Bombyx mori: one gene and its partner. The protein of the gene in region 1 interacts with the protein of each later gene in a biochemical or structural test. Links are inferred from orthologs where the notes say so. Each region holds a gene or a part of one and is shown in the gene's direction. Other genes may lie near its edges.

What was found. The genes of interacting proteins can lie anywhere in the genome.
Region 2: the proteins of transcription elongation regulator 1 (region 1) and splicing factor 1 form a complex in vitro, tested with the Homo sapiens proteins (3 studies listed by BioGRID). The link is inferred for Bombyx mori from reciprocal best matches to the Homo sapiens genes TCERG1 and SF1.

What each region holds. Positions count from the first base shown.
Region 1 is NC_085130.1:19,188,177-19,191,691, reverse strand, and holds part of transcription elongation regulator 1, read left to right. Parts: intron 1-46; coding exon 47-206; intron 207-1,568; coding exon 1,569-1,771; intron 1,772-2,176; coding exon 2,177-2,295; intron 2,296-2,508; coding exon 2,509-2,659; intron 2,660-3,515. UniProt on the Homo sapiens protein: Transcription factor that binds RNA polymerase II and inhibits the elongation of transcripts from target promoters. Regulates transcription elongation in a TATA box-dependent manner.
Region 2 is NC_085112.1:799,945-803,921, forward strand, and holds the start of splicing factor 1, read left to right. Parts: upstream 1-1,166; 5' UTR 1,167-1,374; coding exon 1,375-1,640; intron 1,641-3,754; coding exon 3,755-3,859; intron 3,860-3,977. UniProt on the Homo sapiens protein: Necessary for the ATP-dependent first step of spliceosome assembly. Binds to the intron branch point sequence (BPS) 5'-UACUAAC-3' of the pre-mRNA. May act as transcription repressor.

The sequences.
Region 1 (3,515 bases):
GCACCCGCACCCCCGCACCGCTCTGTAGCCGCGCCCCTCTGTGCAGCGCATCACGTCCACCGTGGGCGGCAAGGAGTCGGAGCCCGGCGTGTCCAGCACCACGCCCTCCGTCACCAGCACCGCCGACACCAAGCGCCCGGCCGACGCCGACGCGGACGCCGCCGCCGCCGCCGCCACCGCCGCCAAGAAACCAAAGATTGAAGAAAGTTAGTATGCTCTCGACGATGCCGTGAGACTTGGTTCTTCTATACCAGTGGTTCCCAAAGTTATTTTGTTTACTGCGCACTTTGAGAATAAATTATTTTTAGCGCCCCCATTTTTCAACCTACTTAAAAACTACTATAGCGAGAGCTTAGTCGGTATATAAGGGTCCTTCTAGATGAAATTACAAATCGTTTCCCAAGCCTCTACACAACGCCCCCATTTTTTTCTGGGTCTCTTACCGCCCCCCTTTAGGTCTGCAGCACCCACAAAGGGGCGTTATCGCCCACTTTGAGAAAGGCTGTTCTATACTAATATTATAAAGAGGAAAGATTTGTTTGTTGGTTTGTATTGAATAGGCTCCGAAACTACTGAACCGATGTTAAAAATTCTTTCACGGTTTGGAAGCTATACTAATCCCCAGTGACATAGGATATAATATTTTTTGAAAAGAATTAGGGATTCTTACTAAAACTCGAATAATATAACCCAAGGTTTGAAAAAATTACCCAAAAATATTCTTTACATCGCGTGCCCTGCGAAACTATTGATGATAGAATAAAATAATGTACTACGACTTTGTAGAACACATTATTATTTACACAAAGTGTCACGACAGCATATGTCTAACAATTATAGTTATGCCGCAATAAGCGTTCTTTTATTTAAACAAATAAAACAACGTCAAACATCGTTGAAATTTTTGTTAAAGACCCGAGCGGAGCCGGAGCGGGCCACTTGTCCCATATAATCCTAAAATGTTTTTGGCAATGAATGACCAGCAGTCTGGGTGGGTGCGGTCCGTGGTCCTGTTACGGGGTGCGTTCAAGAGCTCTTTTAAAAAAAGGAAACTGTGACTGGCACTGAGTTTATTTTATAAAAGAAATAGTACAAACGATGTGTGTTTCCGCGCTTTTAGTAATAAATCGTCTTTATATGGGAGACGATGCTTTCAATAATGTCTTAATCTGCATTATTATTGAAGTGAAACTTCTTTAGGATCACTGTGATGTGATATCAAACTCGATGAAACGAAAAAATGAAACGTTCACAATGCATAAAAGATACATTAAATCAATAAAGAAAACATTACACACACTACATAACATGTATTTGACGCACACTCGCATGCATACTATTTATTTATTGTCAAACTTTTGTTCTTGACGTCTGTGGTCAAATTGAGAATAGATTAAATATTGTTTCTTTGTTAATATTTGTCTATAGTGTTGTAGTCTTGGCGTTGAAAATACAATCATAACAGTGTGCAAACTTACAATTCCAATTAATTATAGTCGAATTTCGACTACTGCGGGACCTCTAGTTCTTGACTCCCACCGTGTGTGACCTGCACGCATATGTTGCAGAGCTGGAGGAGGTGAGCCCGGCGGAGGCGGAGGCGCGGGCGGCGCGCGTGCGCGTGGCGGTGCCGCACGAGCAGCGCGTGGCGTCGTTCCGCGCCATGCTGCGCGAGAAGAACGTCTCCGCCTTCAGCACCTGGGACAAGGAGCTGCACAAGATCGTCTTCGAGCCGCGCTACCTCGTGCTCAACTGCAAGGAGCGGCGCCAGGCACGTGCCGCACTGTACTATACTGTACTATACTTGTACATGTACAGGTGGGCTGTGAGCTCGTCCACACATCTATGCAATAAAAAAAAAAAGAAACGCACGTTTAGACTTCACAGATACATTAACACAACTATCAGACGTTCACGGCAGCTGCTATGAGCGGGCTCTGGTAACTAACCCATACTCGGGCCCACCCCTCCCGTCCTGGTGGAATTGAAAACGTCTCTGAGCCACCAGTAATCTGACCCGTCTAAAAAAAAATTGATTTTTTTAGCCCTTGTAGGCAGACGATCACACAGCCTACCTGATGGTGAGTGGTTACCGTCGCCCATGGACTTCAGCAATGCCAGGGGCAGAACCGAGCCTAAATGTTGAAATGATGTTGAACTATAGTTATTTGCACAGATATTTAATCAGTACGTGACAGAACGCGCCGAGGAAGAGAGGAAGGAGAAGAAAAACCGATTGCTAGCAAAGAAGGCGAACTTCAAGCAACTCTTGGACGAAGCCAAGCTTCATACAAAGTACGTAGCGGCACTACGCACCAAATGAAATCAAATTTTTTATTTTATTCAATATACATATAAGTACATACTTGTTGAACGTCAAAAAGAACTACTGCCAATTCACAAAAACTAGCCTCCGTCCTGAGAAGAACTGGGAAGAAACTCAGCGGGCATGGCTTTTTTTTTAATATTAGATTTAGCTTGGTACTAACTAGCGCTTTCCATCGCCAGGTCCTCGTTCCTGGACTTCTCCTCCAAGCACGGCCGAGACGAGCGGTTCAAGGCGATAGAGAAGCCGCGGGACAGGGAGGTATACTTCAACGAGTACCTCGCCGAGATCAGGAAGAGGGACAAGGAGGAGAAGGAGCGGAAGAGAGAACAGGTCAGTTCCACGCCCGAACCTCCACTCCCAACCCCGCCCCCGCCCCCGGCCCGCTCCGGGGCTCGCACTGGAGACGAAAACAATATCTGGATTTGTAGGGGGACATATAACAGTAGAGAACAGCTGAGGTCGGGGGCGGCCCCCCACCTGTCCCCCGCCGCCATCACTGTCCAGATCGTGTGACGTCACGCGGGAACGCTCTCTGAATGAACTGCTCCGTCTTGATGTTAATGTACTCTCTCAGTTTCTGCATAAACTGAATTGCCTAATGTTATACCTTTAGATAATCTAGTGTCCACGAGTGCGGGTTCGATCCCCGCCCGCGTCGAGCGGCGCCTCATGTCTCGCCGCTGTGCCGGCGGACACATGCGCTTGCGAAATGATCTAATCACCTGAGTCGTGACTTTGATTACATTTAATTTTCTTAATAAATGAATATGAAATAATTGAAAGTTAATGTCTGTCTGTGGCACTGCTCTCGGAGGGGAGTCGAGACGGCGGCCGCCGGGCGCGGGCGACGCTCGCACGCTCCCGATAACAATGCCATTGATTTGTTATCTCTGAATAATTTGTCTGTTTTATATATCTCTATATTTATATATATATATTATCATTACTATTGACAAATGATTTTTATAGCGACGCGAGCGGATGTGGGTCGCGACGGTGCCCGCGGCGCGCCTAGTTAGTGTGAGGTTTAGTAGTCCCGGTAGAGGGCGCGCGGGCAGGTCGCGGACACAGCCGCTCCGTGCGGCGGCGGCGGGTCGGTAGCTCGCACTTACCTCCCGAGGCGACGTCGCTTCCGAAGTCCCGCTTCTAACAGACGGTCGTATTACAGGACAGGCCAGGAACGTAA
Region 2 (3,977 bases), on another chromosome or scaffold:
TTATATTATGAACAATGCTATGAATGGAAATTACGTGAAGCTTATTTGTTATTGAAATCAATCGGGATAAATTTAAGTTAAACGGCATGAGATGAAATTAAATAGTCTCAGCAAAGTAGTTAGAATTTACCGACTTCAGTCGACTTTTTGGAAGGAACCGGAGAGCCTAGTCCAGCTACCATTCCCACCCTTATGCACTTTCACAGATGCTAAAGAGTTAATAAGTCATCGTTAATAAAAATTTAAATCCGAATAAACACTATGTTAACAGAAAAAAAACATTTACACTTCACTCGTAGCGCTCCCGCCAAAAGGTCAAATTCAGTTTAAGATCAGAAAAAAAAATTAAGCTATGGCCTGAGGCTATCCTTGGTTCCAGAGTCATTAACGACCAACAAAGAAGTTTAACAAGTACCGAAATTATTATTGGTTGCCTGCCAGGGCTCTTTAAACAACTCTGTTTTTATTTATATGTTCTCAATTATTCTATGAGGACATGGATAATTTTGTACAACCATACACGAGCCCTTAAATAATAAGCTATAGGTTTCTTCTCTCCATTTGCCTAAAAAAAACAACTTTCCTCGGTTCCGTTAAAATCCAGTGCTTTTTTGCTACTGAATATCTTGTCATGTTGAAAAGTTAAAGACTATAAAAATTCTAGCAACGCGCAACGCAGACATTAAGTTTGATATTTATTCATTATCTTATTATTTTAGGTCATCTATAGAACCTCTTCGAATCCTCTTCTTATATTTCGTATTAGCTCTAATATAAAAAAAATACTACTTTTCCTTAGATAGTTCTTCCTGATATTATGGTATTTTAATAACCTCACAAACAGATACTTTGTAAAGATATACGAAAAATCCTGATAGATCATTTGACCCACAAAAGATCCATGTGTGTCGCAGTGATGGATGGATTTCTGGCCCTACATCTCGAGCTAAAAAATAAATAGCTTAAATCGCTAATTACTGTGACTAAACGAAATTTTTTTCCTACCTATTTTAGTGACCTCGAGTGGTCATGCTAGATTCACAGAAGGAAGTATATGGCTTATCTGCTATTTGAAAATTTCCCACTTAATTGTGTTTTAAGTTTTAAGCTCGAGGCTGGCACTAATAGTAATGCAACAAGTTGCCATACCCAAAAAATACGATTATCTATGAAATCTATGGTAACCACCATTTTGTTAATTTTGATTGCGTCTGTTTTGTCGGCAGGCGGCTATCGTGTCGATTATAGTTTGCAGAAAGTGGTTTTCGCTCGCGTACATAAGATCACAAAAAGGTCTTTGATTTTATTTAAGCATAATAAGTGATACTGAAGTTAACGAATCAATAAAACGTTGCTATTTCATAATTACTTGTGATGAGTTCTCGACACCGTGATAGGAGCAGATCTCGTTCGAGAGACCGTGATCGTCATAAAGATCGTGATCGCGAGAAGAACAGAGACCGGGATAGGGACCGCGACCGCGACAAGGACCGGGATAGAGATCACGGTCGTGATAGAGACCGCGATAGGGACCGTGATCGTGATAGGGACAGGGATAGGGATAGAGATCGCGATAGAGACAGGGACCGGGATAGGGATCGTGATCGAGACCGCGACAGGGACCGCCGTCGTTCCAAAAGGTAAATATGTCACATTGTCATTAAAAAGTTCACCAGATATGAATTTATCGTGGTAAAAGCGAGTTTTGTGATTGTATTTCAAGTTTAATTGAGCTTAAAAGAGTTCCACTTGAAGTCAGCGGTTACTGGTCTGCTTAGAAAAATGCCATGAGGATGTCACTCTTCACCTTTACATTGATGGCTCAATTGCTGTGGTACATTAGCTGTTATATCCCTTAAATCTGAGCGTATGATTGTTGCTTGGGAAAATTTACAGAATGATGGTTCCAATTTGCTCATGCTTGAACAGTCCCCTGTTAGCATTTAAATCTTTAGAGTTCACAATTGAGTGAGGAAACCATCAGGACATACAAATGACAGAAATTAGAAGAACAGAAACTTAAGTCTATCTGTGTATTGTACCATATATTCTATTAGGAACTCTCTGAGGCATTGATGACCCCAACATCATAATTTACGATCACACCACTCATCACCGGATCATCGTTCATCCACACTATTTAGAACCACCGTGTTTGTCCACAGGGTGTCTTCATATATATTTGTTACCACATACCATCTGACTGTAAACTGAACTCCCCTCGCCCTTGCTTAGTGACAACTATGACAAGTCTCTCTTCACATCTGGTGTCTGAAATCCAAACAACCATTCAATTATTTTGGAAGGAAAACATTGACCAATTATTCCATCTAATTTATAATTCAATTTTAATTCTTATAACTAAAATATCCTTTTATGGGCAGCGACTTGGCACTGCCCCTGGAATTGCTGAAGTCCAGGGGCGACGATACCCACACACCATGAGGTGGGCCGTATGCTCATCTGCCTACAAGGGCAATAAAAATCCTAACTTCAAGATATCTGAAATTATTATAAAGCTTAGGTAATATAATTGAAGGATATAGAGAATTAAGTAAAAGGAAAGTAGATAACACAGAGCATCAAAATGATTCAAGTGTTACTACTATTGATGGATACAAGTTCATAAGTATAGATAGTGAAGACAAGAATATATTGAATGATATAGGAGACAAAAACAAAATAATTGATACTGAGTCCAGAAAATGAAAATAGTATTTTTCAAAAAACTACAAGCTTTTTTAAAATGCAAAGAATATGGAAATTTGAAACAGCCATTTTAAAAGTAAACATGCAAAAAATGAAACCAACCTTAATAAAGGTTTTATGACCAAATTAGAAATTTTTGATTCTGTCTATTAAATAAATAAGCCACATGAATTGTAATTTTGAAATTAATTATAATTATCAACCAAAGTGAATTTAAAGATTTGCTTTTATAATAATATACATCTTAAAACAATGTTTATAAAGAAATGGGGGTTTTTTACTTGTTGTCATATAAATAAGTACATCTTAAATGTTCATAGGTGCAGTTTTGTTTATGTTTTATTTTGTTTTATCTATAGATGGGTTTTCTATCTTAGTACTAGCATCAATTAAAAATTATTTCTATTAATCCAGTTTGTTAAAAGGCTTATTTCACTGTTAACACTAACTAATAATAAAAAAAAAACACTTAACAGCATGTGTATGTATTTACAAAAGCTAACTTAGTCATTTATGAGTTCAAGCCAATGATGGAAACGAGGCAACTTGCATAAAAAGAACAATTTTAATATAGTTGCAAATCTACACACTACTACTACACAATCCCAAGCAAGTGAAACTTATGTCAGCCCCATAAATCATGTAATTTTCTATTTATGCTTTTCTCAAAAATATTATAAGACAGCTAATTGAATCAAAATTTTAATTTTGTGTTCACTTTTGGTCTGTTTAGGTATTGTATTTATCAATGACTAGCTGTACCCGTCCGCTTCGCTGTGCATTTAAATGAACATTATTATTTCTCACCCCCACAAAGATGCTCATCATTAGCGCCCCCGCAACTGGTGTAGGGAGTCTAACACTCATATAAATATAAGCCTATCCATTAAGTAAATCTATTTTCTACATGGATACCAAGTTTCAAGGCAATCAAATGCATGGTTCAGTAGTTATAATGGAACATCCGCAAAAACCACTGTAGATTTATATATTAGTATAGATTTATCATTTATACTTGATTAAATTTGTTTCAATCTATATTCAGGGATAAAGATCGAGAAAGGAGCAGAAGTAGAGACAGACATAAGGACAAACGCCGCAGCAAGAGTCGCTCTCGAAGCCGCAGTCGAGGCAGGAAGTCTAAAGATAGGTTTGTTTGCTTGATTTACTCTCGGGTTGGTGGGTTGAACAAATGAACATTTTTACAGATACACATATCGACGTTTGAAAGGCAAACATGACTAAGCGACAATGCGTGAACTTTACAA